Linked DNA regions of Oryza sativa Japonica Group. The main gene of each other region encodes a partner of the protein of the gene in region 2 in a complex. Links are inferred from orthologs where the notes say so. Each region holds a gene or a part of one and is shown on either strand. Other genes may lie near its edges. The genes, in order: general transcription and DNA repair factor IIH subunit TFB4, general transcription and DNA repair factor IIH subunit TFB2 and general transcription factor IIH subunit 2.

Region 1 (10,533 bases), on a different chromosome or scaffold from region 2:
GAAGCGCTGGAGTGCTAGGTTGGATAGGGAAGAGAGATCTGTCGTGTGTGCACAACTAGAGTTTGAACTGAACTGAAATCCAATTGATTTATGTTCTGAAACTGATCTTTTTTTTTTCTCAGCTGATTTGCATTTCTGTACGTAGCTTGTGTTTTTTTAATTTATGAATCGGTACAAACAAGATGTCTGCCAATGATGTGTAAACTTATGGCACTTGTCATTGTGCTGCAGTGAATGGAACAAAATGGGATTCCTTACTATCTAATGAGGCCGACTGACATAACTCCTTGGAAATGTTGCAATCATCTGATGCCATATTTGTTTGTTTGCAGAGGCCAGGAGAAGGAAATGGCTTGAAGATTGTCCAGAGGCAACTAGCCCTGACGAGGCCGTTGTCTTCGATACTTCAATCATACCGTGGTGGGCATGGATGAAGCGTTTCCATCTCCCTGAAGCCGAGAAGCTAAATGGTCATTCTTGAATCCTTCTCCTTTTCAAAAGCTGAATTCAAAAGTTTTTACTTGCATCAAGCCACATGTGCAAACAAACCACGTGCATGGGAAAGAAGAATTCATCACTTCTAACATCACACTCTTATGTCTCTGCAGGCCGTGCTGCCATGATTGGCTTCTTCATGGCATACTTTGTTGATAGCTTGACCGGCGTGGGGCTTGTCGACCAGATGGGCAACTTCTTCTGCAAAACCCTACTGTTTGTTGCTGTGGCTGGTGTGCTGCTGGTCAGGAAAAACGAGGACATAGAGACAGTGAAGAAGCTCATCGATGAGACGACGTTCTACGACAAGCAATGGCAGGCAACCTGGCAAGATGAGTCCCCTTCTCAGCCCAAGAAATAGCTCTGAAGTGGAATCTGAATCTGAATCCTCCCTATGTTGTATTGTATCACTTCTTTTTGCAGCCCTTTTCTCAACCCATTTATTAGTGAGGCTCAGTACATTTTGATGATCTTAATACCTATGACGTCTTGTAAAAAGTACGAACTCGTTTCTGTGCTAGAGGTTAACGTTGCTGCGGGTTACTTGGTTGAATGTTTTCTTTGTGAGAATTGCTTGTACTAGTTACTCCCTCCGCTTCATATTATAAAATGCTTTGACTCTTTTCTAAATCAAAATTCTTTTGGTTTGACTACGTTTGAAAAAAAAACGTAGCAACATTTTTAACATCGCATCGCGCCAGAACAAATCTGCACAGTTCCATCGGCAGTGCACACAGCCGTTATAGGAAACTAAAAATCAAAATTGTTCTTGGAGCTCGAAGTAATATATCAAGACATTAGCGCAACCTGTGTCACCATGACAAGAAAAATGATTTGCCATCTACTAGCTTGACCTGTTGTCCTGTTTTCGGTAAGCAAAAAAGAGCATTTGCAAATGGTGCATCACAAGTTCATGTGCCAACTTTACAAATTGCAGGCAAACTAATTCCAAAAGTCGGGCGTGAGTTCCCTCATCAGTTGACAAAATTGCTACGCCCAGTTGCCTAGTTTTTGCTAAACTGACGCTGCTTCAAGTATGCACACAATGCCCATTCTGTATCAGTTGAACCTGTCAAAATCAGGGACAGGCTGATCCAGCATCATGTATCGTATCTAAGAAATAAATGTGCATGTCATTGAGGCTAAAATGCTAGGATAGATGTTCCTGGAAAATGAACCACATTTCAGAATGGAACAAAGCACGGGCATGAACCTACGCACATAAGAACACAAGGTAGGTAAAATTTGAAACTAGACTAGATATGGCGTGCACTGTATGTGCATGTCATCATCATTAACGCATAATGCATGTCTGGGGGTCAGCTAATGCAGATGAAGTAGTCTATATTTTACAAATGAGATCTTTTAACTATAGAAGATAGTGGCACCGAAGTTTCTTAAGAGACACATCAGACGAACCTGTGGAGAACATAAAGAGAAGTCTGCAGTCTGATATTTCGCCATCTGTAGTGTAGACTACTGCCTTTGATCAGGTACAGAATTTAAGTCGGGCATGACACGGTTGAATTCTGACCTGTGAACGGAGCACATCAAATTAAACAAGCAAACAATCTGATTCTTACTGAAACAAATTAAAGCTCTCAGGAAAAAGACAAAAGAATAGAAACACAAAGCAACTATAACATACCCACAGGTCGAACACTTCTTATGATACTTGCAGAATATCGATAAACAAACTGAACAAACATATCCCATGTCAATAGTCTTCTTATGGCAGAAACATCTGAAAAGAAATATAGCAAATTAGATGCAGTTGAAAGGCCACCAGTATCAGACAAACTGAATGGAAACTTAAAAACAAAAATAAACTGAGCTGCTAATCCTGACCTAAGGCCTTTGGTAAGATAGAACTTCACAAAAAAAATTAGCTGTATGTTTCTCACATTTTTCTGAAATTGTCATTGGTATTATGCTATGTTTTCAGATCTATAACAAGCATCTCATAGCTATGTCACAAGGCATTCAAGAAGATGAAGAAACAGAGATATGCCTAATGCCTAGAGAACTTAATAGAGGAAACTGAGTGACACATACGAAGCACGGAAATCCACTCCCAGAGTCTTGGGGAGGCGCAGAAAGGTTCTTGAGTGTAAATCAGTTGCAAATACAGCCTGCATATTTGCAGAAATGAGTCATTGAGCTCAAGCAAATTAATCAAGTTATCTGAAATAGAAATATTCCTACTCAGATAGAATAAAGACAAACACAAAACAGAGCAACTTTGGAACTAATATATATATTCCAAAAACAGGTCAACGTAAGCTGATATTGAAGCAATAGATTTGGGTCAGAAGTAAACAGCACAGTCTATCACGCCATAATCTGATGATTCCATTGTTGTTCATTAGTGTATTGTACATATATATGTGAATCTGATTCTAGATTAACAGGTAGATATACTACCAGTACCAGGAAGATGGAGTATCTATGTGCCCCACTCTAGTGACAGAAAATATTGAGTTTTGACATAGGAGATGAACTCATGAACATAGACACTGAGAGGGCATTCAACTTTGTAGTCTACTAGTAGCATCCAAAATCATTTGGCACTAAAGTTTAGAGATGTAGTTGTGTTGATCTTCCCAGATTGACAGTTTGAGACATACAGGAAATATTATGCTTGAGTGCACACTTTAAACAAGCCACACTCACTAGAGATGCATGAGTTCCCAAACATTACTAGTACATTCTACATTCAAGCAAAGGCAGGAAAACAGAAGAGCCTAGACAACCTTAGATGAAAGTTGATATTATTTTTTTTCACAAAATGAAAATGGGCTGATCTGGCATTTTTCTTTTAAAGAGTTACATCAGATTCATGTGCTGGAGGTTAGTTGCCTTCTTAATTTTTCATTATTACACAGAAAAGATGGCCACAGGCTTTATATAAATGCATCATGCAGTTATAAAGATGTAACCATGGTTGCATGAGAAAATATGTGTGTTGCTACAGAAGTGCCAGAATGACTTACAGCAAGGTATTGAAATAGACCATTTAGTTCTTGGGGTTTCAAATAAACTCCACCTGTTATATATGAAGCCTGCAAATGAAAGGCCAGTATATGATCAGCATTCAGCAAGGAATAGACAGCTCTATGGGGGCATACATGTAAAAGAAGTTATAAATGGAAAGAAAGACCAAGAAGGCACTGAAGAACATTACCTGTTGCAAGAAAGCAGAGTCTTGGGTTCCTACTATGCATGAATCGATTGGGACCTAAATTTTTTTGATAGAAAAAAAAAATAAGGACCAAAGTTGTTAGTGAATGTTTTAAGCAATGAAACTGGTGATGTATATAGTCATATAGACATGTCTAGAGGTAGTGCTACTTGCAGTTGGGACTCACTAAAACCACTACAGTTGTGAAATGGTGAGGTGACATCAAGAGTATCAATAAAATGAATTGAACAATGAACCCAAATGTACGGAATAGTGACAGTTCATGCAATACCATGGAACGTTGAGCAGAAAATATTGAGTTCATGACCGCTACATATCTGCGCAGCATCTCATTGAGTTAAAACATGTTCCAGAAAATATATACTACACAATCAAATCGATGAATGTGCGTACTGTTCAGGTCCATCTGGAGAACCCTGCAGGCATAAAATCTGTATTTCGTGTTAGCATAATACATGATGCCACTAGAATAAGTTGTGAGGATATTGAGTAGAAAAATTCAAGAAAACAAAGAAAATTAAATAATTATATCATTAGTGATGGGTCAGATGCCTATCAGGTTTTTTTAGTCCATACAGCATGCGCATTGTAAACATTTATGCTAACTGATATGCTCCCTTCTATGTTGTTCTCATAGGTCAACATATCAACAGGAATCAGAACAAAAGGTAACTTAGAACACACACAGAGTGTATACTCACCCGAGGTTGTGGATGTCGAGTACCAGACCGAAAAACCCTCTGTATATCTAAGCATCCTCCATGTTAAGAAATACAAGCACAAATGGAAAATGCACTAACAATAAGAAATCAGTACCAGTCATAGGATACAGCACAGAGCAAGGGACAGTGCGCCTGAGAGAAGAGAGGCTGCATTGCCATCAGCAACGGAACCATTGCTGCTAGTGGCACGGGCGTCTTCTGCAATGAACTCATCCATCTTGCGGCTCGCCTTTGCGAAGGTGGCCGCGACGTCTGCAGCACCAGAGGCACTAGCATCGCTCGAGTCGAAGATGTAGGTGCAAGAGCTAAGCCCCGCGGCGATGACGACCACATGGTTGAGGTGGTTCAGAAGCAAGAGCGAGTTCACGTAGTGGATCAGCTACATACACCCCGGAATTGCATCAGTATTAAGTGTAAATCCTCTCCTCTCTGGAGAATTCAGAGTCAAAATCAAACTAACTAGATCAGCGAGCAACTAGAGATTGATCCTCTCTGGAGGAGTCAGAATAAAATCAAACTAGCTAGATCAGCGTGAATGCAACTAGATACTGATCGTGTTTCCGTGGTTAATCCCCATGATATAGATGTGAATCAAAAACTAGAAATCGAGAGGGGAAGCGGGGGACGAGAAGGGAAATAGGGTTTGGGAGGTCGCGGCGTACATGGGCGAAGAAGTCGGCGAAGGGGAGGGCGGCGGTGGCCCAGAACAAGGGGTTGGTGTCGACGACGACGACGGCGAGGCTGACGTCATCTGCGCAGGCGCGGTGGAGACGAGGCAAGAGAAAAGGGGGGAAGATTAGCGAGACGCAAAGGGATCAGAAAACGGAGACGGTCGGGCGCCGCTTACCGGAGTAGAGCTTGGAGGAGGCCATGGCAGTCTCACCGCCGTCGCGGCAGGGCCGGACACGCGCGAACGGAGGCGCTGGTTGGGCCGAGGCGGCGGCGGCGCGAGCGGTTGCCTTGCCGCCGTCGGGAGGCGGAGGCGGAGGCGGCGAACTCGGCGGAGTTGCGGCTGCGCTTGGGGGCGGCAAGAGACGACGAATTTTTTTTATTTATAATTTTTTTATTAAAAGTTTTACAAAAATAATTTTCCATTTTGAAAATTGACGGAAGTAGTCGCCTACCGCCCTCTCAGAGGGCGGCGAAAATGACGTGGCAGACGGCCGTTCGCTCTCGGGCGACGGCCGTCAACGAAATTTGCAGGCGGCCCCCTTGCCGCCCTCCGCTAGGGCGATTTTATACTGTGCGGGGGGCCGCCTGCAAATGGGCGGCGAGGGGGGGCATGGAATTTTGCAGGCGGCCCCCTTGCCGCCCTCCGCTAGGGCGATTTTGTACTGTGGGGGGGGGGCGCCTGCAAATGGGCGGCGAGGGGGCATGGAATTTTGCAGGCGGCCCCCTTGCCGCCCTGGGGGAGGGCGATTTTTGCCTCCCCCTATAAAGCCCAGTCCCTCCTCTGTGAAATTTCATTATATTCACTAAAAATCCAAAAAAAACGAAAGAGAGAGAGGGGAGGGCAGCAGAAGGGGAGCGGCGAAGCCCTGCTGGTTCGCTCAATTCATCACAGGTATGCTCCCATACATCTTTTGCATTTGTACTAATATGTTATGTTTGAGTATATATGTTGCGTTTTAGTTTTAGTTCCATATATTTTAGCACATCTGTAGCACATAGCACATATGTGTAGATCCAGAGCATAGAATATAATAGTATGAATTGAGACATAGACAGTAGTGTTAATTGTAAGATGTAGTTTAGTTTGATCTGGAGAATGTAACGTAATTTTAGAAATTTAGAGAACAATATTGTAGAGAATGTAACTTAGGGCGTAGTACAGAAATGCGAGGTTAACGCAGTTATTGTTTTCATCAGGCACAATGTCAAGTAAGGTCACATTTCAGATAGTTCATGGTAAAGGAAATATTAGATTTGGTCCAGATGGTGTTGATCTGTCAGATTTTGTAATGACATCTAAGGGCATCGATAGGCCTGCGGAGAGAACATTTCAGTCAATTTATAGTTGGTTGTTGAGAGGATTTAGAATAGACCAAGAAGTCTACACAATGTCAGTGTCAGTTGTAGTGAGTCGTGCAACAGAAGGTTATTTTTGGGAACTAATGCCGATGGACAGCACTGATGCTTGGAGACGGTATGTGGAAATGGCTTTTGAACGGTCATGGCCCCTCGTTATATTTGTGTCGGTACAAGAGAAAGATATAAATGTTTCAATGCAAACCGAAGATGTAGAGGGTCCTATCAATGCAGGGGATGTTGTTGGACCATCGATGCAAAATGAGGAAAATCAACCAAGGGAGGAGCAGGCTATGGGCATGGCGGATGAGGGGGAGAGAGTCGGTATAATTGTTGATGAAATGGAGAGGGAAGATTCGGATAATGAGGAAGCGGACGACGACGCATCATCCGATGAGGAAGGTGATGTAATGGCCACTGATTGGGCAAATGAGGACTTCTCTGGACTTGTTATATCAGAGGGTGATCATGTACCCTGGGAGTATAAGGAGAACGAGGTAATTGACGGTGCAAGGTATGCTCATAAGGATGAGATGAAGGAGGCGGTGAAGCATTGGGCAGTTTCCTTGCAGAGAGAGTTTAGGGTGGTCAAGTCAACAAATTATGTGTATGAAGTGAGGTGCATGAAGGAAGATTGTCCGTGGCGTGTCCATGCATATAAGGGTAAATGGAATGATTATTGGAAAGTTAGCATTGTGACCGAGCACAAGTGCTACTTACAAGGGGTGGAGAAGTATCACCGAAACATCACTTCAGCTTTTGTGGCAAGTGAGATGTACAGCAGTGTTGTTGGTAACATTGGCTTTGAACCAAAATCAATTATTAGGCACATCGAGAACAAATTCAAGTACACCATAAGCTATGCAAAGGCCTGGAGAGCCAAACAAAAGATCATTGAGATGAGGTATGGCACATTTGAAGCTTCTTATGATAATTTGCCTCGTTTGTTAGCCACCATTGCCCAGAGGAATAATAATACGTACTATGACCTACATACATTTACATCGGTTGATGATCGAACAAAGAGTATGCTGCAAAGAGCCTTTTTCTCATTGGGTGCTTGCATCAATGCTTTTGTGCATTGTCGACCTGTTCTATGCATAGATGGAACTTTTATGACAGGTAAATACCGAGGTCAGATATTGACAGCAATTGGGTGTGATGGGAACAACCAGGTTCTACCTATGGCTTTTGCATTTGTAGAGAGTGAGAACACTGAAAGCTGGTACTGGTTCCTAGAGAGAGTGCACATTGCAGTGGTGCGTATGAGGCCCAACGTTTGCCTTATACATGATCGTCATGAGGGTATGTTGCGGGCTATTGACTACTTGCAGAACGGTTGGGATGAGAAGGGACTTCCAGCTAAGTGGCCTGATGTTCAGAGTCGGTGGTGCATGCGTCACATGGGTGCAAATTTCTACAAGCAATTCAAGAACAAGCATCTTATGGAGCTCTTTAAGAGGCTCTGTGCACAGAACCAAGAGAAGAAATTTAATGAGTTGTGGGACAAGTTGGATGAGTTGACAACGAAGCAAACAGATGAGCAATCTCGCAGACCACTAGTTGAAGGTGACGAGCCTCCCATACCTCTTGGTGCATTACATGATGACCCACCAACAATGAGAAGGAGGTCAAGGTCGTCCATCAGAAATTTCACTCAGTGGATTGAGAATGAGCCTAAGGAGAAGTGGTCTCTATTGTTCGACACCGATGGATCTCGGTATGGCATAATGACAACCAATTTGGCAGAGGTGTACAACTGGGTAATGCGAGGAGTTCGGGTACTTCCATTGGTTGCTATTGTTGAATTCATCCTTCACGGCACGCAAGCGTACTTTAGGGATCGATACAAGAAAATTGGTCCGTCCATGGCCGATAACAACATAGTGTTTGGCAACGTAGTGACAAAGTACATGGAAGATAAAATCAAAAAGGCACGGAGACATCGAGTTGTTGCTCAAGGCACACAAGTGCATCGGTATGAAATAATGTGTGTTGATAGGAGCAGGCGTGGTATCTATCGCAAGCAAGCCGTGCAGGAATGTGTCTTGAAGGCGGATGGTGGATGTACCTGCAGTTGTATGAAGCCGAAGCTTCATCACCTTCCTTGCTCACACGTTCTTGCTGCTGCCGGTGATTGTGGCATATCTCCCAATGTGTACGTCTCAAATTATTTCAGGAAAGAAGCAATCTTTCATACATGGAGTGAGGAGATATATGGGTTCGGGATCTCAGGATCTTACACAACGCTGAGTGCCCAAGTTTTTTATATTCCAGATCCATCTAAGTTAAGGGTGAAAAAGGGTCGACGCCAAACTAGACGCATCAGAAATGATATGGATGAGTCAGAAGCAGGTGGGAGGACTTTACGCTGCAGCAAGTGTGATCTGCGCGGCCATACTTACAAGAAATGCCCGAAGAATGCAGAAGTTCCAAGCGGCGCAGATGCTAGTCCATCTGGACAGGCAAGTGATGGTAGGCGACCACCTGGTGAAGGAACAACAAGCAGGCGCGCAAGGCCAAGGCGTCGTCGCGCAGCAGGCGATTCCATGGTGTAACAATGCTTTCGATTTAGGAAATAAAATGCTGTTGTGATGTAATGAGTGTTCGGACTAAATACTTCTATCGTGTAATTTCAATTCAATGTTGTTGTAATGAGTACCTCCGACTATTGTTGTACTAGTAGTATTGCGAACTATTCGGTGTTGTATTATAATGTTATCGTGATGAGTGTTCGGACTAAACACTTTTGTTTGTTTGTACTCTTGTTTAATATGTGTTAGTAATTCGCTTATGAACATTTATTACTTATGTTGAACTAATTATTTATATGTTTCTGATCAACCTATTTGATGCAGGTATGGCGTACGACACACCGGCGCTGTTGAACCGTGGGATTGACAGGAACCACCGCTCGTTCCTGTCAGCAGTCGAGGGTGCACAGCTCGGCACCTTCCGTCCACGCACGTCGCGCGAGTGGTTGCGTGTCGACCCCCGTCACGTTCCTTGGTATGCGTATGTTCACATTTCAACTCAACTTTGCTTTGTGTTGTACTTATGTTTGAAGTTTGCTCTATACAGGTTGCGTGCGGCAGGCCTTCTACCACTTTGTAGGCTTGTTGAGGCGGCGGCGGACGACCGTGACCCAGCGAAGCGGTGGGATGCAGACCGGTCACTCCTTGCCGCTCTTGTAGACCGCTGGAGACCTGAGACGCACACGTTCCACCTTCCCTGTGGGGAGATGGCTCCGACACTGCAGGACGTGTCGTACCTGCTCGGGCTACCGCTGGCGGGAGCACCAGTTGGTCCCGTGGACGGTGTTTTTGGGTGGAAGGAGGATATCACTGCGCGCTTCGAGCAGGTGATGCGCCTTCCACACCTAGGACCGGCCAACACCCTTCCTCCGTACTCTACAGTCGGGCCTAGCAAGGCTTGGTTGCTCCAGTTCACTGTAAGTAAATAAGTTGTTATTATCATACATGCTTATTTGCGACCGGATGAGTGTTTTGTACTAACATTTCATTCTTAATTGTAGGCGGACCTTCTGCACCCTGACGCTGATGATTACTCGGTCCGACGCTCCCTTGAGGCGTACCTGTTGTGGTTGTTCGGGTGGGTGATGTTCACTAGCACCCACGGGCACGCTGTGGACTTCCGGCTGGTCCACTACGCACGGTCCATCGCGGATGCTCAGCCACAGGACGTGCCGCAGTGGAGCTAGGGTTCTGCCGTGCTAGCAGCCACGTACCGTGCCCTCTGTGAGGCGTGCACGAAGACTGACGCGGGAGCGATCATCGCTGGCTGCCCTATGTTGCTTCAGCTTTGGGCAGCCGAGAGGTTTGCCATAGGTCGACCAGTGGTGGACAGCGCACCCTACGGGGTTGGTCGCAGCGCGCAGTGGCCAGAGGACGGTCCCACGATGGGGACTTACTGGTGTCGACGTGGGGTTAGTGCAACTTCGCTGCATTATAAGTTTATCAGTCGTCTTCTTTTTTTTTCTTCACATAACATGTCTAATTCCGATCATGTTTATTGCAGCGTCGTTACGCTCACGTCCAGGTGAGACGTGGTTACCCGGACTTCGTG
Region 2 (10,435 bases):
CTTTTCTTCCGCATCACTGTACCCAAATTTGGAGCAATAGTGGTATGCTGAGCCGAGTATTGTCCATCACCCATCAGAAAAAGGGTAAACTTTAACTTCCACAGGAGAAAAAGAGAGGTGCTTGCTTTTTCCTTTGGGTGGTGGGGGTGGGTTCGGCTAACACGCAATTTCCAAACCTCCCTGTTCTTGCACGGAATCCTCAGATAAACTGTATAGAGAAAACCATTTTCTCCAATGAAACAGTATGGAGTATATGCATTTTGCTTCGACGAATTCGTCTCGAAGTTTCGCGGAAGCAAAGCATATGGGACAGTTAGCAGTTAGCACAGGGTTACACGCCCAGATCAAGAAACCCAAAAGGGGGGAAAAACTGCAATCGATGTAGTGATAAAAAACTAAAGCAGAGATTGAGAAGGCGAGAGAGTAGTAGCAGACGAGATCCGAGTTGGGGAGGAGGAAGGAGATGGGATGAATACCATGGGACCGGGAGGCGGTAGTGGAGGTCGGCGACGTCCCTGTACCATGCGCGGAGCATCCAGAGCGCGTAGAGGATGACGGCCATCCCGGCGAGCCCCAGCACGGAGTTCACCGCCTTGAGCCCCGTCTGCACGCAGCTCCGCACCACCCTCCCCGCCATGGCCGCGCCCCACCCGCGTCTCTCACCACCAACTCCGGCTACTCCTCAGCTCGGTCTGCACCCCCACCCCACCTGTGCAGCTGTTCTCCGCGCAGCCTCGCGTGGGAGCAAAGAATGGGAATGGGAGACCGCTGCTGCTGCTGCTGATGGCGGAGGTTGACGGCGGCGGTGGCGTGGAATATTGGGGAAGAGGAGGGGACGTGTGGAGGTGGGAGGGAAAGAGGAGGCGATGGATGGATGGGTCGCTGGAGAAATGGATGTGGGAATTTTGGGTTGGATTGTTTCGGCACGGATGTGACATGAGTTAATTGCTGCCTGCTTCATTTATTTTGTTTTTATTTTATATATTACTTATTATTGTTTTTCCGTGAAAGATTAAATGATTGTTGCTTCTACTCTATTGTATTTTGTACTACCGTATATACTTGTGGAAATACGGGTTTGCCGTGACGCTGCTGTACCTTGAAAAGAAGTGTACTTGTAGTTTTTTTTCTTAGTCAAACTTGGTTAAGATGATTAACTAAATTTATAGAAAAATTTAGTAATATCAAAAATAACAAATTAGTTTAATAAAATCCAGCATTGGATGTCTGTTTTATGTTAAAAAATGCTACTATATTCATTTATAAACTTAATTAAATTTAAAGAAGTTTGGCTAGAGAAAAAAAATAAACAACTTATAATATGAAACACCTAGACATAGCAAAATGACAAATCTCTCGGCTCTTCGCAAGACGAACAAGAGGACTAAGTAAGTACACCCATAATGAGAAAGCATTAGCGTATGATCAATTGCGTTTCAATAATTACATACTTCAAATTATATTTATTTGATATATTTTAGAGGAAATTCTTATATAGAAAGTTTTCACATAGAAATGTACTATTTAACAATTTAAAAGGCATATCTTAATTATTAAAAATGAAGGGAGCTAATTATTACATAGTACTACGTCATAATGTTTGATGGGGAGTGATATGTTTTGTTATGATGATATACGTAATGATGTGCTATAAATCCTATGAGATGTGGAGACCGGAGAACAAGTTGGGGGAGAAATTACTAGCTACTGTTACGTGGTAATCAAATAAGTCGTGTGTAGAGTGTTTGATTAAGAAAAGTTAGCGCGTAAATTAGGGAAGTAGTACTTGTGTGGTGTGGAGTCACGGCCATGCGGACAATGAGTACGGAGTAGGTTTTAATCCTGGCACCTGTAGTTAGCATATGCACCTGGGTGAATGTGATTTGTGATTTTGCACCTGGGTTAATAATGTTCATTACGCGCTAGCTTGTGTGTAACGCTACGATGATTTATGAAATTGTGTTGAGAAAAAGAAAAACATTATCGTTCATCAACCGACTGATCTCCCCAGTCACATGGAAAATGAATTAGGTTTGGAGTTTTGTGACTATTGGATCGTAGGTTTTTTTATTTGATTTTATTAGGAAATAGTCAGTTCATGTAAAATTTCGTGTAAAAACCATCCTTTCCAAAGTAGAAAAAAGAAAAAAAAAACAAATTCTATATTACTCCTTGTGGTAGCATGTCTAAAAAAAATTACAAAGCAAAATAGGCGTAACTAAAATGATTATCCTGTGATAGAACTAGCTCACCTGAGTTTAAATTCTAAACTTGACATTATTACTTGTATTTGTGGCTAATTATTTTTTCGGTGGTAGACGATATTCGTCAACAACAAGCTTCTGATGACAGTCTAGGATTTGAGAAAGATGTATTTGTAAAACCCAAAGATCGAACTACTCCTATATGCTAAAATCTGGCTGCCAACCCTAGTTTCTTAGTATAATCTTACTATTAATTCTTTAAACAGGGGTAGTGCTTGGTATCGGTATTAATTGCGTGACAGTCGGCAAGTATCAGTTTCATTTTCGTATTGACTTTTGATCTGACCATTTCCAGCTTCAACTTGTCCGCCGGATTTTTTTTTCATTGGTTCGTAGTACTTGGTAGTAGGAAGTAGTACAGGAACACCATTTCAAAATTCCAACTACTACTTGTCTACTTAAACCACACATGAATTTCCTTTTAGCAAAAATTCAAAACCACATGTATTGATGTATAAATTTGGAGTTTGACGTCGCAGCAGACGAGTGCTCGGCGAAAGTCATGTAACGCGCACCTTTGGTTTTGTGTGGCGAGGAAGATTTTAACACGGAAAGCGATTTGACACGTACGTGTACGTCAACATTGGTGATGTCCAGACTCTAGACTTGTAAATTGTCATGTTGGTGCCAGTATACCTGTGAAATGATTTCATTTTTCTAGTACATTTTATTTCTTTCACATGGAAAAAAAATTGGACGGCTAATTGACGGATTGATCCTGGAAAGTACGAGTACGGTACTGAAATTGAAAAAAACGAGCAAATATTATACACGTTCGGGGGTTCTTTTCATCAGATTTTAGTTAGGATAGGAAATTGTAGTTAGGAGTATGTTAAGCACGTTCATGGGTAGTTTTAAAATAAAAGCACATTCATGGGAGCGTGAGCGTGCTGTGTAGTTATGCATGAGTCTTTCGTCTAAACGAAAAAAAACAAGAAAAAAAATATAAATAATTATCCATGCATGGACAACTTTGAAACACAAACTTGCCAATGGGCCAAAATGGGCTAGGGTTGGGTAGCCCAATCCTTTCATTCAAGAGGCCTGTAGCCCAATCTAACATAAAAGGGAATAAGTTCACTTCGTGACCCTCAACTGTGATCGAAATCTAATCCATAACCCTAAACCACAAAACCGGATATTTCGACCCCCAAACTCCTAAAACTGGTGCAATTTAACTCCCTCGGCGGTTTTGGAGGGCGGTTTTGCTGACGTGGCGCCTACGTGACGATATTGACCGAGTCTTCGTTCCACGTGACACTTAGGTGGCATTAGAATTAAAAATATGTGTGGAACCCATTAATCATTCACAGAAAAAGAAATGTGGGCCAACTGACATGTGGGGCCCACATGTTAGTCCTCTTCCTTCTTCCTCCTCCCTCTCTCCCTTCTCTCTCTTTCTCTCCCCTTCTTCCCCAAGAAGCTAAAGCGGCAGCGCCGGGGACCTGCAGCATCCCTCGGCTCGTGCTCCCGCGGTACGACGCCGCGTTGGCCGCGCCCACCGGCAACGTCTGGTTGTAGCAGTCGCCGCCGCCAGATGAATCCATCGATCCAGACAAATCACACACAAACAATCTCACAAACGAATCCATCAATCGTTCACGCCATGTATGACTATGTGTTTGCTAGCTAGCAGCTTATAGGATCTGGATCTTGTCGTCGGTCATCCACTAGCGGTGGGAGTTGAAGACGAGGACGTCGGCGCCCTTCCAGAAGGTGGAGTGCTTGTTCATGGGGGCACTGCGGATGAGGCGGTCGTCGAGGACAGCGGCACCGTCAGAGTTGGACTCGGCGAGCATGGGCGCCCAGTATAACTCGATGGTGGCGTCGTAGTCCTTGGCCCTGAAGATGTTGAGCGAGTCCACCGTCTCGAAGGATCTGGACCCGCCGGCGCCGGGAGCGCCGCGGTGGAGGAGGCAGAGCAGCGAGGCATACAGCCCACAGAGCAGCGAGTCCCGAACTTCCAATCTTGCCGCCGCCGCGTCAGCTTCCACCGCCGCCGCCGCCGCCGCCGCTCGCCGCCGCTCCAGCCCGTGCTCCCCGCGGCCGGCCGAAGGGGAGAGAAGAGAAAGGGAAAGAAAGAGAGAAGGGAGGAAGAGCGGAGGAAGAAGAAGAGAGAGGATGGCATGTGGGCCCCACATGGCAGTGGGTCCCACACTATATATTTTTTGAATGACAAATGGGCCCCACACTTTTTTTTTTATTTCTAGTGCCACTTAAGCGCCACATCAACGCCACATGGAAAGAAGACCGAGTCAATGCTGCTACGTAGGCGCCACGTTAGCAAAACCGCCGAGGGAGTCAAATTGCTCCGGTTTTAAGAGTTTTGGGGTCGAAATATCCGGTTTTGTGGTTTATGGTCGTGGATTAGATTTCGATCACAGTTGAGGGTCACGAAGTGAACTTATCCCACATAAAAGAGCCGACGGCCCAATTCCACTGCAAATTTAAATGGGCCAGGATCCGGATTCTATCCAAGCCCAACTCACACCCACGCTGCTCGGCTCGACACACATCGCCGCCTCGCCGCCTCCCTCCCTCCTCCGGTCGCCGTCGCCGCCGGCGAGCTCTCCTCCTCCTCCTCCGGTACACAGCTCAGCTCTAGAGAAACCTCTTCCCCTGTTCCCCCCTCTCCTCTCGTCGAAGCCTCCTCCGCTATCTCCCCGGTAGGGCTCCCGCCGACGCTCTCTCCTCGTCGCCGGATATTCCCATCCTATCCCCTCCTCGCTCTTGCTCCCTCTACGTGTGTGGCACGGCGGCGCACCGGATCGGCGCTGGGAGCTAACCCCCCACCCCCCGGCGAAGATGCCGCAGGTAATGGTGGTCGCGCGGAACTTCATGGACATGGTGGCCGCGCTGCCGGCCGCCAAGCTCGACATGCTCTACGACTCCGCCTTCATCTGCGAGGCCGTGCTCAGGTGCCCACTCCGCGCCGGCCTTGCCCTTGGCTGCGGCGATGCGTTTCCGTGCTGTATTTCATCGCGAGTGTTTTCGCCACTTCGTTGTGCAGGTCGCTCCCGCCGCTCGCGAAGAAGTACGCGCTGCAGATGCTGTACGTGTCGGCGCCGGTGGCCGCTGCGGCCATGGAGGAGTGGGTGCTCGACGAGTACGCCGCCAAGCACAGGGTCGCCATCGATAGGCTGCTCCAACTGAGGGTATTTGTCGAGGTGCGCGATCGGTAAGGCCTCATCCATCTCCACCAGCGCTGGGTGCTTCAAGTGCGCCGCAGACTTGCAACTTCCTCTATAGATCAGAAGTCGATGAACCAACTGTATAATTTCAATCCAGAATGTCAGATTTCTGGTGCTAATTTTGCCTTAGTGGTTTGCCAGCGCTGTCTTTGGCATGCCGGGGGGCCTGATATGTTATCATATATGTCAACTTACTGAAATTTTGGTGTAACTGTTTGGCCCTAAGGATGCTATGCAACTAGTAATGCTTTTATTTATTGTAAAAAGGAAACAGCAATATATTTGGCATGCCACATTTGGTCTGCAAAGTGCAAACTCTTAAGGTGAAATATGCAACAGCATTAAGAATTATGAATCAATGTTGGCATGAGAAGAAACCATCATGATGATTATACCCTTGGACGTGAACAAGTTTTATTCAGCTCTAGTTGGGGTAGTCGATTATTTTTAGCTAATTATACTGCTGGAACATCAATTTCATGTGTACTTTGTCACATGTTCTGTTTCTTGCATGTGCAGAGGCATAGCTAATATGAATCTTATAGCTTACTCAGTTTATGAATTACTTTAATTTTACTACATAGTAGACTATGTTTTTCTACAGAAGAAAGGAGGTGAGCTACAAGATGAACCAGAAGTTCCAGGGCAACATGCAAAAGTATTTGGTTGATGGGTAAGTTTTAGTAACTACTGAGCTACTTTTACTGAAAGCCACATACTTTTCTCATATTTTGAGCTAATTGCCTTTTCCCCGTCGAAACTTTATGATAGTGTAAGCATGTGCTTTATTTCCTTATATATATTATGTACAACTCTTAATATTGTAGAGTAATCCTTACTATATACTCCGGCATACGTTGCATGTATAGAAAAATTTCTCCTGCACACATTACATGTAGAAAATGAAAAAGCCACAATGTGGTAGCAATAGGGTGGAAATAGTTCACAAATTTACCGATGATTGCACTGAAGAACAGTAAAATCAAATTGACTAATTTGTATAAAAATAAATTACTGTATGTTACATGTTTCATGTTATTCAGTTATTTTTCCTGTGTGGGCAGCCTGAGCTAATAATTAAAGCTTTATTGCCATGTATTTTGTTCTGCGTGTTGTAGCATATCAAACTAGTTGACGACATTACAGTTTTATTTTTCTGCAGTGGAAGTTTACCAAGGGAACCTATACCATCGAGTGTCACTGCAAGGTTGCCTACATTGGCAGAATTAGAGTCTTTTGCTCTTGAGCAGTGGGAGGTCAGGATGACAAAAGCTTATGTTTGCATGTATATTTTATTTTAGGGAAACACTTTCTATCTTTTTTTGCTCATCAGATCGTACTGTTTGAATGCTACCAATGTTCACTCCCCTAGTAAAGGAACTCATTCTTTTCTCTATGGGAAAATAGTGCTTCTTGCTGCAATTGATCAACTCATCTCAAGTCGAGAGAGGGACAAGTTTCAGCTCATCCATGATGAGAACTTTTCAGCGAGGTCTTCTGAGTTCAAGGTCCATCTTATTTCCTCCCTTGCTTTTGGCAGTGAGTTATGCATAAAATACGGACAATCAAATTTTGTAACAACAACAAAGAATATGCAGATTGCTGTAGCTCTTTCTTTTGTTAGTACAATTAGATGATAAATCCAATGGCTGTAGCTACATAGATATACACTAAGAAGAACTAGCAACTACTATACCCAAGATGGTGTGGGCTGACAGCAGATGGTCATTGGTTAATTGGTTTGGTTTATCTGTGTTCAGTTTACCTGTAAGTGAAATGGGGCTGATTGGTCTCTTAGTAATCCTAATAATCCATCTTTTAGCAGGTTGCTTTTTTTATTTGGATAGTTCAGATTTGCACCACATTTCTGGAATTTTAAAAGCTACTAGAGTTTTTTTGCCCTGCTATATATTCTCTAGCTTTATTGTATATGCTTTCCTCATTGCATATTCAAACAACAACTGAACGATAGAGTTCCTGATCTGATATATTCTGCAGAGATGGTGAAGCTCCAAGATTAACTGAGAACGGGTTCCAGTTTCTGGTGTGTCATTGGCTATCAGTTGATCCAATTATCTAACAGACTGCAGACTTCTATATTTGTTTCTCACTCTTTTCTATTTAACCAGCTGATGGAGACAAATGCTCAACTTTGGTACATCATGAGAGAATACATCTCATCAGCAGAGGTATCGGTTGCTTGCTCTTTCTAGAGCTTTTGATGTTACATTGTTGATTTATTTGTTGTATTTCCTTTGTGCTGATTGTTTTATTACTGTTGAATAGGAACGTGGTGTGGACCCCACGGAGTTGATATCATTTCTATTGGAACTTAGTTTTCATACATTAGGAGAGGTAAGTTAACCACTTTTAAAAGACTGTGGTGATGCTTCTTTTTTTTTCAAAAATCGTTTTAAAAAGTGACCAGCTCCAGTTTTTCTTTTACAGAAATTAAAATATAATTTCCCTCAATAATAGTAGGTTATATTGATATAAGAAATAAACACGGCCACATTTTACGCAGATTATAGTTTATGAGAGGATTGGGTAAATTGTAGTGGTATATGAAACGGAGCATCTCAAAGATTTTCTATTGGTTTCTGATCTATCTAACAGAATAGGGACATCAATCTAACATGCCTGCTTAATAATGCTTACTAGTTCAGACAGTACCAGAGATTTAGTGCTTAAAAAGAGGTTATCAGTCTGTAGATTAATGTTATTAACTAAGCATTATCTTTCATCTGTTGTGGAGTCCAAGCTTTGTGGCCTGGTTCATCTGTTGCAAATTCGCTTCAACATGCTGTTTAACTTATTCATGCTTCAGGCTTATAGCTTGAATACTCTGACCGATGTCCAAAGAAATGCTATTAGGGATCTGGCGGAGTTGGGACTGGTCAAACTTCAGCAGGTAAAACTTTGATTTAGTCTTTTCCCTAGTCAACTTGATGAATACAAATGTCAAGAGTTAAGCCATGGCAGGGTCGAAAGGACAGCTGGTTCATACCTACAAAACTGGCTACAAATCTCTCAGCAAGCTTGTCAGATTCATCGTCTAACAAAGAGGTTTCAGAACATTTTATATCCTTGCTATTACAGTTATTCATGACGTCCAAATCTTTCATAACCTCAATCTACTCGTCACCTAAGCAACAACAAATGAAGATGAAAATACTTTCTGTTAATAATTACATTGTATGATGTTGGTGCTGTAGGGTTTTGTAGTTGTGGAGACAAATTTCCGGATGTATGCGTACTCAACTTCCAGATTACATTGTGAAATTCTGCGCCTTTTTTCAAGGTACGTGTGGTGCTAGATGATTGGCATAACTTAGCTCAACTATGTACTGGTTTTTTAACTACTGAATTACTGATCCATAGCTTCTGTTGCATCCTTGAACGACTTTCCTCTATTTATTATTAACATTTTGCCATATGTTTGGCATGCAAAAGAGCGACGGCAGGGAGCTAAGGGCTCTATACCCTTCATCACATTTTCTTTAGTTAACCAGCGTAACTCTGCCAATTGTCATGCGAGTATATGCCATAATCTTGATTTTTGGCTATGCTCTAGTAGAATGGTGATTGGTCACTGCTGTTTCAGTGACTGATACCGTTTATCTTGGTTGAGTAGATGCCTTCATCTTGACTGAATTGACTCAGGAATGCCAACTGTTTCACTGGAATCCAGTACTAAATCAAGGTAGTAGGAAACACAATACAGTGAAGATGACTGTATTAATAACTGTGTTGTAAGTAATATTGCTTATTAATTTTACAGGACACTTGCTTAAGGTTTTATTAAAATGACAGTAATAGTGGCGACTGTAGATTTTACCTTATATTACTGTCATCCTCCATTCTTCATTGAATGTTCAATAAGGATATTTTTGCAGAGTGGAGTATCAACTTCCAAACCTAATTGTGGGATCTATTACAAAAGAAAGTCTTTATGGTGCTTTTGAGAATGGGATTACCGCTGAACAGGTATCACTTGGAGTATGAATTTCTGCATGATCCATTATATAGATACTCAGAGTCATTCTTGTTTTGTGTTGTTTTTCAGATAATTTCATTCCTTCAGCAGAATGCTCATCCTCGTGTTGCTGACAAGATACCTGCAGTCCCAGAGAACGTTACAGATCAGGTACAACTGAACAAGGCAATGTTTTCATCCATGGCCAACCGTATTTGCCAAAGTAATTGAATTGGTAATTCCTCCATGCAGATTAGGTTGTGGGAAACGGATCGTAACAGGGTTGATATGACCCTATCGCATTTATATGAAGATTTTCCAAGCAAGGTAAAGCCCAGCATATTTAACTTGGAAATAGTACTGGGACAATATTGAGTTGCTTATACCATGTTGGTGTGTGCTTTTCATATTAGTGTAAACGCTAACATATTTATTCTACTGTTGCTTGTGCAGGATATGTTTGATCAATGCTGTGATTATGCAAGAGATCATGGGTGCTTGCTGTGGGAGGATGCGAAGAAGATGAGATTAATTGTACGAGTGGAGTTCCATTCAGAAATGCGTGAGTTCCTCCGGAGGCTAAGATAAATCAACTATAGTTTGCATAATTTATTCAATCTATGTACTCCTATATTCCTGCACAGTAAGAACTTTATCAATGACTGTTGTGCACCAATTTGGCCCATTGTCACACATGAATATATCCACTGGCTGCATCATGTTAAGGAGTTGGAACTCGCTGAACTTTTGAGTTAACTGCTGTTACCCTGTTTATTATTACGGAGTGCTCCATCCGTCCAGTCCAAATTAGTTGTTTTAGGATAGATCACATTTTATTCTAGATATTTTTCTTTACTTATTCTAGATGATTACTCCGTGCAAGAGAGGAGCGATTAGAGGGAGAGACGAGCGATCAGAGAGGAGGGGGAGGGTGTGTGTCAGGTGTCAGGTTTTCACCTGTGTCAATCCGTGTGAGAGAGGAGACGGGTTATCATTAACTAGGA
Region 3 (10,355 bases), about 9.3 Mb from region 2:
CTGGGGTGTTCTCAAGTTTGTTAATCGGCTGATAGACATATTTACAAGTACAATGCAGGTGACCGACCGAGCGTGACATCCTAATAATCCCCACATAATTATGTCTCGGCAGCTGTTATGCTGTCTCAAATCCGGTGATAATTGCAGTGAGTTCGACGGAAAATAACATAATGGCGCACGAGGCACACTTGATCCACTAACACAAGTACATAAGACTCGTTGGACAATCACCTGTCCTTGCCTTCTCGACGTAAGCTGAAAGGACGGGACGACCGAAGGATGCATATTACTCCCTCGTTTCAAATTATAATGTGCGGTAAGCGCATGTAGCGACATCGAAAGAAATGCAGAAAAAAAAAACCAACACAATTGAACTTGGCACAATCTATAAAACTAGTTTTTGACTTTTAATTTCTTGTATATTATTACTGTAATATTTATAGTAACAAAGTCAACCATAGAAAAGTGCATTCAAATTTTAACCCAATGATATTATTTTTGTCAAATAAAATTTAATTCATGTTAGACTAATTATTGGTCAAATTTCTTTTGAATTGAATCAAGCATCTTATAGTATGGGATAGTGGAAATAAATGAACAAGATGCTGGTGAAACCAAGGGAAAAGGCTTCATCCATCGGTCCATCCTATTAGAACGGACATAAGTTTATTTTCCCTTCCATTATATGTTACACACGCGTAGTATGAGTTATACTTGTGTTGCTTTCAAAATGATTTCGGTGTGATCAGAAAAGGCGATATTGCACCTGCTTGCACTGACCTTCTGTTGAGCGCGAAGACATGTTCAGTCTTATTTTTTAGAAAATAGATGTTCAGTCTAATGCCGTCTGAAACACATAATTTCACAAGAATTTCATAGTTATTTTTCGTTGTAAGAAGAAAAATTCCCAAACCAGGTCGTGCAGCTAACCTTACCTCTCTGCAAGGTTCATGGTTGACTATCCAAACATGTGCTTTAGCAATTAGCATAGCCACCCTTTCCATGCTGAAGATTTCTGCCGTAAAGCAGCAATGAACTTTCCTGCTAGAGAGGGAATCCGGCAAATCCGGGCTTGGTAAACTCACGGCGTAAAGGGCTTTGTCCCGGTAAACCACACCTTTTGGAGCTGATATTTTTCCACCAAACTTTGATGCGAACTTTTCAGCCATTTGATGCAAGGAAATTCACCACTGCCTTTTTCTGGGTTCTGAATGTTTGCTTGGTTCAGAGATACGAGTAATAAAAATGTTTGGTGTCCATAGTACAGAGGCTGCAGCTCAGGAGCAACTAGCATGATGGCAATCATGTCGTTGTCTCTCCAAGCCAAAGCAAGCAAATCCCATCATGGGGTCAGTATCATTGCACGAGCTCGATGCGATGCCCAGCCGGTGCCGGACCACATCGTCAGAAAGTTGCAAGCGGCGAACTCAGTTCGACCTTGTGGTTTGAGTTTGTCGATCCGGATTTAAATTATAAACTTAACACGGTTATTAATATTTATAGCTAGTTAATTCTTTTAGTGGTAGATAATACTATATATATCGACACATGACATCCATATATGTCTATGGTAACTTTGAAATATGATAGAGAGATATGTCTATGATAACTTTTGTTAATCTTAAATTAAATATATACCGATGTAATCTTTAGAGATGTTTATAAAAAGAGTAAATTTTATAAAACTACACGTCTTGTAGTTTAAGTTGTAGAAAACCATAAACATTTTGACACTTGGCACTTAAGTATATATATTTTGGTAGTGTGATATCACAAAACCGCACTATCAATGAATGAATTCACCCGCGAGATGATGTGACTGTTTCAACTAGGACGAGAACATGGCATCTTATTACTAGCCATCCCATGAAATTAATAGGATGCCACGTCATCATCTAGATAAAACAACCACGTCATCTCATGTGTGAATCCATTCATCGATAGTGTGGTTTTGTGAAACTAAACTACCAAAATATATGTACTTAAATGCCAAGTGTCAAAATATGTGTGGTTTTCTGCAACTTGAACCATAAAACATGTAGTTTTGTAAAATTTACTCTTATAAAAATATGATGTGCGTATATGTGTTTATATGAGCGAGGCGTCCGTACTGTTGAAGGAAAGGAAGTTGCAAGTGACTGTGTATAGGCAGCATAGGGCACGAAAAGGGCTTAGCGCCATAGAGTGTGCACACTGTGCAGTGCTCGGAAAAGGCCGTGGTCGATCGGTTGCCGTCGTGCTGTCTCACCTGTGTTTCTTTCAAGTGGACTCGAGTGATCTACAGTTGAAAACGCACAGGACGGTGCAGCAGCCTGCAGTTCGTCGTGCCCACAACTTGGCCGTGCAACTGGTGAAAAGGAGCACTGGCACCGCTGCCTGTCATCCATTCGCTTTAGCAAAGTCGACATGATAGCCACAGGAAGCACACTTTCATCAGAGTGTAGGGAACCAGGGATATGCTGCGTATATGTAATTATGCATGATGATCGCCACTGCTCGTCACCGGAAAGCTGAAAGGGAACAACGAAAAAGCCCAGAGTTAGCATCTGTGTTGACTCCGCCCATCAGAAGCGAATTGCGAGGCAGCAAAAAAACGTAAGCCATCAGCCTCTTGGGTCAGCAACATCGTGCTCTCTCCAGCGTTTTGCCGTTTCGTTCTGCGTCTCCGCCTGCTTTGAAATTGTGCAGTTAATTGCACGAGGCAACTGCTTACCTTGACGATTCTACAGTCAGCAACCAGCAACGGAAAACGCCGGGTGCGTGCGTGCGTCGAGCCGTCGATATCCAGCATATTGGCATATCAGGAGAGGAAGGGGGAAAAAAAAAGAAAGGAACAGCCTCTGCTCGTAAATGGCATGTCAGGGCATGACTATGACACTGAAAGAATACATCTTTGCCTCAGAAAAACGGCAAGAGTTACAAGTTTTCACTTTTCAGTCGCATTGTACATTTCTAACACCTCCCCTCAGCAACAATGCTATGGCTTCAACAACTCTTTGACCAGTACTCTGTATCAAAATAGCTTAACTAGCTACTCCATCTAAATGAACAGGAAGCGTCAACAAAATGGAGGCCGGGCACTATATCATCTGTACACTGTTTGATTACCTCACAACATCGCCTACCAATGTCAGTGTACGAGAAAGCTTACAGCAACGGGTAGCTTCTTGAGTTAAAAAGACAAAGATTAACACCACAATGGCATCCCTATGAAGAACTACGCTGACTCTCGCAACCTGGGCAATTGTGCAAGCTCTCATGGATGTAAATATCGCAATCAAGGCAGAAGTGTTGGTTGCATTTTGGACAGCGAACATGGAGGCTAGATTGACTATCTGCAAGGATATTGGATAAATAATTAATAAACCTGATAATTGCAAAGTACTCCCTCCGTCTCAAAAAATAACGAACCTAGGACTGTATATAACACATTCTAGTACAACGAATATAAACAGAGGTATGTCCAGATTCATAGTACTAGGATATGCCACATCTAGTACTATGTTGGTTTTTTATGGGACAGAGGGAGTATAATCTAGCACAAAAACCAGTGAAAAACATTAAATGTAAGAGAAGTATGAGGATTGGTAATTGAAGAACATGATGCCATGTAATAACAAACAAATGTAAGCTTTGTATTATGTATTTTCTCTTCTTTTTTCTACCAACTGCAACATATGTAGCACAATAAGGATATCTTTCCTTGTATGAAAATGCATTGAAAAGGTAGCATGTACTGTTAGACGTGTTAAAGAACTGCATACCAGGGTTAATAAAGCTTTGCTGGCAGCCGTAACACTTTTGTCCTCCCTTTTGACCTAGTCTATTTGGGTGCACGGAGGACACCTCATCAAATGGTTGTACAGGGAAGAGATGATGATAGGACCTTGCCAGATGTGGAGAGCTAACTAGTGTCAGCCCGCAAGTTCGACATTCTGTTGGAAGCTCACATACATTGACTTTGCATCTAGGACATATGTAACCTTCAGCCCCCGACTTTATTTTCTTGTGACAAGAGCAGATGGAGATAAGATCCTCTGCTCCTCTCTGCGGAAAACCCATCTTAATCAAATTAGCTGCAGCATACTCAGCAATTGCAGGTGGTGGAGGAGCATGTTCCAGAAGCAATTCCTTGAAATGGGACTGCCAAAATAAAACAGGCATTATTTATCTTCACAATAACTGAATAAGGAAAGGTAAACACACAAAGCATATTTTAAGACCTCATCCAGTGCAACTGTGTAGGATCCGCCAGTCTCTTCACACAGATATTTGCAGATAAAAATCTCTGCAGCAAGCCCAATAACCGAACATCGTATTTTGGATTTCTTGCATTTTGCTATTGTCTCCATGATATCTCCAGGATCACAGGTATTCAGGGCCGAGTACAAAAATAATACTTCCTTGTGACCATATGAAGGAACCTGGTCTAAATAACCATGGACAAGCTCTAGAGCATTCTGCAGAGATGGTTCACCAGAACACTCAAGCTTCCCCATCAATGCTTTAATCTGTGATTCAGGACTACCTCCAATCTCTGTAAGTCGATGGGAAATCCCATCTTTCATTGTCACTATCCCCACATGACTCAAGGGATTCTGGTCAAAAAATTCCCTTATGAATACCTCAGCATATTTTGCAACAACAGCCATTCGACTAGGTCGATAATCCATCTCTGAAGCTGCCTACATGATCAAAGATACAACCAGGATAAATGGAGATTACAACCGAATGCAAAGAAGTAAAAGAAGTCGTGGGCAGCATATCAATTTGCAGTAAAAATATCTTCATCACCAGAACAATCATGAGCAGCCTACTTTGTGAGAAGAAAATGTACATATGCTAAAATAAATGGTATAGGCCCTCTCCAAGATTTCTTGGAGCTAGGTATTTCTAGCTCCATAAATCCATGGATCTAGATCTACGATTACGTTAATAACATTTAAATAAATTATTTCGTGCACATTTCAAATGAAATTTAGAATTTTAAACCATTATAATTTAATTTATAAACTTCAAATCTACCATGGATCTAAGATCTGGAGCTGTGCCAAAGAGGATCTTATTTACTACCTATCACCCAAAGGAAGAAAGGGCTTTTTCCACATGAATGCATACACAAAATATACGTAGTGTTCTCAAATCAACAGAAAACACTTTCCAACAATGTCAAATGGTATGGAGCAGTAATGCAGTACGGTGCCCCTTTCCTTTGACATAAAACAAATGACGATCAACCAAAACGCTTTACCGCTTCAGAATCTTGATAATGAAAAACCTCACGCTCCTCCGATTCCTATGAAGTTTTCAGATAGGACAGAACCAAGAGAAAATTGCTATTAGCATGAGCCTAACAGGGATGGGGTATGAAATATGTCTTTTCCTTTTTAGCTTGCTCATAAGAGTCATAGTGCAGTAATTTATAGAAAGAATTTTATTTACCACAGATCTCAGGAGACCCTTTGGCACAAGAATTTTTTTCCTTTACAAAACAAACTATTATAATTGTAGAAGAACCATTTTTAATACAAACCATATACAATTTCATTTTAGTTTGTGAACTTCATTGCGTTCAATGGTTGGCGAAAACCCCCCATTCAATCTCTGGTTATGGCCCTGGTCAATGGCAAACAAAAATGGCTAGATTCCAGTATTGCCCTGATATGCACCGATTATAACACCCACTCTCAGGGACTAAAAGCAGAACACCTAAGCAAGAAGACAAGCTAGCAAATCATACATGAGTGATGAGATCATCAACTCAAACATCAAACCTTGATGTGGAAGTGGAGAGGATTGCGCAGCTAGTCACTGAAATAGCTAGCATATGAAATCAAGCTAAAAGCACTACATAGTGATCACCGATTCAACAATACTGCCTCCAGTCCACATTTCACACGAACCAAATTGAGGCCATGGGCAATACCACCAGATCAGCCTCGGCACGAGGTGTTGCATTTAACAAACACTGAGAGGTTAGCACGATCAGCATTGCCCGCCATCCCCAGTGATCCTAACCCGAGCTCACGGAAAACTCCGCACTCACCAAGTGCTCGACGGAGTGACTGACCCGAGGACAAGCTTAGGAGAAGGCACGGGGGAACGAACCCGGGAGAGATCGATGACGATGTAGAGGTAGCGGATGAGGCCCTTCTGGATGCGGGCGGCGGCGGAGGCGGCAGAGCGGAGGAGAAGGCGGCGGCGGTACTGCGCGTGGACGAGGGTCTTGGTGTCGATCGGGCGGAGGAGGCCCGACTCGTCCTCCTGCAGCGCCTCCCATGACCGGTCGTCCGCGTACGCGCGCTCCCAGGCCTCGAGGACGCGCCCCTCGCCGGACTCCTCCTCCTCCTCGTCGTCGTCGTCCTCGTGGTTGCGCCGCCGGGCCGATGCCGTGTAGGGCGCGTTGAAGCCGCCGCCGCCGCCGCCGACGCCGTACATGGTGGAGGCGGCGGCGAGGCGGAGTGGGAGCAGAGGAGGAAGGAGAGGCGAGGTCGGGGACCGGGGAGATGGGCCAGGTTTTGGGGTTCCTGGGCTTTTGAGTGGGTTTTCCTTAACTTTTCTAGCTTTCCCATGCTTGACGGTTGAGGCCTTACTTGCTTGCACTTGAAAAAAAAACTGAAAACCCATCTAAAATTTTATGAATATTTTTTGGGGGTTATCGTCAAATCTTGCAGATTTAGGGTCAAAAGATGTGCTTCGTGATTAAGATAAAAAAAGATGTGCTTTGTGATTTGTGCTCTATATTCTTCTCCTCTTGCTTTAGCAACCTCCTTTTCTTTGTCGACATTGGCGCCACCCTGAACTAGAATCGACGGATTAGGGTCCATATTAGATTTAGGGTAGGGATTGGGGAAGAGGGAGGAGATCGTCGGTCTTAGAGGCATGATCATGGGAAGTGGTGGACCAAGGGGGGTGGTGGACAATGGATGCTAGTGAGGCGTCAACGGCGATGTCAGCGCCCATTGGGATAAAGGAGCGCGGTAGGGGCAAAGCAAGCTTGTGTTAAGAAGCGGTAGTCGGTGGTGGTGGTTATGAGCAGCCGAAGATGGGGAAAATGTCGGATCATGGGCATCTGCTGGCTTGAGAAGGAATAGAGGGGGGAGGGCTCCGTCAATATTAATGACACTTCCATCCAAGTGATAGCACAAGAGGCGTCAAGGTCGAGCATGTCGTGCATCGGTGAGGAGGGAAGAAGAAAAGGAAGAGGGTTAACGTGGGGGGATTTGAACGAATCTCAAAGTAATCCAACGAGGGGTTTATGTCAAATGTAAGGCTTATTTCCTTTGTCGAGTTAAGTTGACATATGCACACACTAACTTTATGCATCTAAGTCCTAACATACACTCAAATTCGAACAGTAGCCTCGTTTAACATGGGTATAAACTTATCCACCAAATATTATGTGCATTCAGTGCCTCCGGAGATTAAGTCTCCGAGAAAGTGCAAGCACCAGCATACTACCTCATCAGATTAAATCCTAGAAAAAAAATGCAAAAGCACCTATACTAAGACTACAACTTGAACTTCGATGGATATGTTCTACCGCAAGGGGAGCTCAGTTGGCAAATTTGATGAATAATTTTGATAAACTGAAATACAGGTTGTAGTACTTTGCATAATAATAAAATCACTAGACATCTGCACATGTGCATGTTTGAACTTTCAGACACTTCATAAAAATAAATATAGTTTTATGTTGACAGTTGGAATTGCAGCATTGGCAATGTGGCACCTGACCACCTCGATTTTTTTAATAACGAAGTTCATGCGATCTGTAAGTATTTATACTATAAATTCATCTCTATAGTTTATATCATCGACATGGTTGACTGGTCGACATCGCATCTAATGCGCGAATGTATCCATGTCTCATGTGCCACGCTTTTGTTATACAGGTGTCGCTGATAATATCTTCGACAGACTTTGCAGTACTAGGTTCCAATGCTGCAGTTCCACGGTTGTTGTTCTGTGCTTCTGTTGTAATGCCACTGATGACAGCTAAGCTAGGACTAATCCTAATTCCAATCAAAACCTTAAGATGTTCCTAGTTTCCTACAGATCAGCTAACTTCAGAAGGATGAAAGTACAGTCTGATATTTTCCATGCCTCTTGAAATGTGCACTTCATCTTCATGCATGTTCATCAATCTGTTATCTGTGAATAAACTTGATGCATTCTTCATCGCATTGTGATCCTTGACTTATGTTTAGAAGATTTTCATCTCTAGACTTCGGGGTCTTTCTGAAGATCAGGTAAGGCCGAGTTTAGTTCTAAACTTTTTTTTAAACTTTTAACTTTTTTATCACATTAAAACTTTTCTATACACATAAACTTTTAACTTTTCAGTCACATCATTTCAATTTTAACCAAACTTTTAATTTTGACGTGAACTAAACACACCCTGACTTCAGTAGGATGAAAGTAGTCTGATATTTTCCCTGCCTCTTGAAATGTGCACTTCATCTTCATGCATGTTCCTCTGTTATCTGTGAATAAACTTGATGCATTTTCCATCACAAGTATCATTTAGGCCTTGTTTAGATCTAAAAAATTTTAGCCAAAAACATCATATCAAATGTTTGGACACATGCATAGGACATTAAATGTGGAAAAAAAATCAATTGTACAGTTTGTATGTAAATTGCGAGACGAATCTTTTAAGCCTAATTACGCCATGATTTGACAATGTGATGCTATAACAAACATTTGCTAATGACAGATTAATTAGACTTAATAAATTCGTCTCGCAGTTTACATACGGAATTTGTAATTTGTTTTGTTATTAGTCTACGTTTAATACTTTAAATGTGCGTTCATATACTTTAAAAACTTTACACTCAAATAAAAACACATCCTTAGCTTATGTTTGGAAGAGTTTCTAGACTTTGGGGTCTTTCTGAAGATCTCTTCTGGCAATCGTTGAGAAGCACAGCAACCTCTGTGCAATAATAGGCCTGGAACTATGCGGTGATGTTCTTTTCTCCTTTTCTCTTAAAGATAAAGATGAAAATTAATTTTTTTACGCAAAAACGAGATGATATTAACGTATGTTGATTGAGTTTTAATTATTACAAACTTTAAAAATAGATTAATATGATATTTTATAGCAACTTTCATACAGAAAGTTTTCGCACGAAGCGCATCGTTTAGCAGTTTGAAAAATATGCCACGAAAATCTTAATCTTCATCCTGTTGTGTATGTCAATCAGCTGTACTAGTCATCTCCTTTCAGAAATTTTCAGAGCAGCGTTTGGCTCTTGTGTGTGGTAGTCTTGGGCTATTGGCTCTCTTCAGAAACTTGCAGAGCAACTTCAATTCGTACAAGCAGACTGTATCAATGAGCATAAATGGTTGGCAGTACTCTTCCAGCCTTTGTCCTCAGCTGCTTATCCATGCTCATTTTCCACACATAAACCTATCCCTCCTCCTCTTGCAAGTTCCCTTCCTTCGGCAACCGTTTCTGCAAATCTGCCAACCACAGGTCAGACCTTGGCTCTGCATCAGCCTCCAGGTCCAGGAATTCAATGTCCTCAAAGATGTGTTCATCACCAGTGTTGGAGCGTCCCTATTGCAGACAGTACAACTGATGCCCCGTGTGTTTTTTTCCGAGGACTTTCCCCCTGTCACATCGAACGTTTGAACACATGTACGTATTATTAAATATAGGCTAAAAAATAACTAATTACATAGATTATGACTAATTCGCGAGACGAATCTTTTAAGCTTAATTGCTCCATGATTTGACAATGTAGTGCTACAATAAACATTTACTAATGATATATTAATTAGGCTTAATAAATTCGTCTCGTGGTTTACTGACGGATTATATAATTAGCTTTTTTATTAGTGTCCGAACACTCCATGCGACACCCTATATAATACCCGATGTGACACGCTAAAACCACCCCTGATCTAAACACCCCCTAAAACTTATAATAGGAGTATTTTCTAAAAACATTCTAGTAGGAGAGTATGAGTATTTCATCTTCTAATGAATTGACGTGTAAAACTTTCTGATTATGGCTTACACTTAAAAATATGACTTAAATATTTCTTTTTACTTCTTATTAGCTCTCACTGAAAAACAAACACCTACACAATAATAGTAAGATATGATTGTATAAAGATAAATCGATGACTGACAACTGATGATATATAAATATGTTATATTAGTTATTTAAAGTTGTTTGTTTAAGCTTATGATATGTGCAAAACCACCATCCAAAACTATTTTAAGGGCAAGTGGATAGTATGACAAAGTTCAAACTTTAGAGGGTTGGATGTCCGATTTCAAAGCTCAGGGTGTTAGACGATCTTCCATCTAAAGTTTAGGAAGTATTTGGATTCTTTCCCTT

Evidence for each region.
Region 1: general transcription and DNA repair factor IIH subunit TFB2 (region 2) and general transcription and DNA repair factor IIH subunit TFB4 share a complex: the UniProt entries of both Arabidopsis thaliana proteins name them as parts of the 7-subunit TFIIH core complex. The link is inferred for Oryza sativa Japonica Group from reciprocal best matches to the Arabidopsis thaliana genes AT4G17020 and AT1G18340.
Region 3: general transcription and DNA repair factor IIH subunit TFB2 (region 2) and general transcription factor IIH subunit 2 share a complex: the UniProt entries of both Arabidopsis thaliana proteins name them as parts of the 7-subunit TFIIH core complex. The link is inferred for Oryza sativa Japonica Group from reciprocal best matches to the Arabidopsis thaliana genes AT4G17020 and GTF2H2.

Annotation. Positions count from the first base shown.
Region 1 is NC_089036.1:1,352,925-1,363,457, forward strand, and holds general transcription and DNA repair factor IIH subunit TFB4, read right to left. Parts: upstream 5,446-10,533; 5' UTR 5,292-5,445; coding exon 5,267-5,291; intron 5,171-5,266; coding exon 5,082-5,170; intron 4,799-5,081; coding exon 4,528-4,798; intron 4,446-4,527; coding exon 4,399-4,445; intron 4,129-4,398; coding exon 4,091-4,128; intron 4,015-4,090; coding exon 3,969-4,014; intron 3,734-3,968; coding exon 3,680-3,733; intron 3,558-3,679; coding exon 3,489-3,557; intron 2,628-3,488; coding exon 2,551-2,627; intron 2,240-2,550; coding exon 2,144-2,239; intron 2,030-2,143; coding exon 1,972-2,029; 3' UTR 1,915-1,971; intron 1,661-1,914; exon of another isoform or gene 1,565-1,660; 3' UTR 1,236-1,564; downstream 1-1,235. Other genes in the region: light-harvesting complex-like protein 3 isotype 2, chloroplastic, read left to right, coding at 333-470, 609-856; protein MAIN-LIKE 1-like, read left to right, coding at 9,308-9,456, 9,529-9,898, 9,983-10,168. UniProt on the Arabidopsis thaliana protein: Component of the general transcription and DNA repair factor IIH (TFIIH) core complex, which is involved in general and transcription-coupled nucleotide excision repair (NER) of damaged DNA and, when complexed to CAK, in RNA transcription by RNA polymerase II.
Region 2 is NC_089038.1:35,240,309-35,250,743, forward strand, and holds general transcription and DNA repair factor IIH subunit TFB2, read left to right. Parts: upstream 1-4,740; 5' UTR 4,741-5,069; coding exon 5,070-5,182; intron 5,183-5,274; coding exon 5,275-5,442; intron 5,443-6,042; exon of another isoform or gene 6,043-6,045; coding exon of another isoform or gene 6,046-6,059; coding exon 6,060-6,128; intron 6,129-6,617; coding exon 6,618-6,711; intron 6,712-6,862; coding exon 6,863-6,963; intron 6,964-7,453; coding exon 7,454-7,499; intron 7,500-7,584; coding exon 7,585-7,644; intron 7,645-7,741; coding exon 7,742-7,810; intron 7,811-8,282; coding exon 8,283-8,366; intron 8,367-8,437; coding exon 8,438-8,521; intron 8,522-8,670; coding exon 8,671-8,756; intron 8,757-9,351; coding exon 9,352-9,442; intron 9,443-9,521; coding exon 9,522-9,602; intron 9,603-9,683; coding exon 9,684-9,758; intron 9,759-9,884; coding exon 9,885-10,019; 3' UTR 10,020-10,187; downstream 10,188-10,435. Other genes in the region: tetraspanin-19, read right to left, coding at 477-637. UniProt on the Arabidopsis thaliana protein: Component of the general transcription and DNA repair factor IIH (TFIIH) core complex, which is involved in general and transcription-coupled nucleotide excision repair (NER) of damaged DNA and, when complexed to CAK, in RNA transcription by RNA polymerase II.
Region 3 is NC_089038.1:25,933,164-25,943,518, forward strand, and holds general transcription factor IIH subunit 2, read right to left. Parts: upstream 6,530-10,355; 5' UTR 6,439-6,529; coding exon 6,109-6,438; intron 4,686-6,108; coding exon 4,224-4,685; intron 4,144-4,223; coding exon 3,765-4,143; intron 3,336-3,764; coding exon 3,208-3,335; 3' UTR 2,842-3,207; downstream 1-2,841. UniProt on the Arabidopsis thaliana protein: Component of the general transcription and DNA repair factor IIH (TFIIH) core complex, which is involved in general and transcription-coupled nucleotide excision repair (NER) of damaged DNA and, when complexed to CAK, in RNA transcription by RNA polymerase II.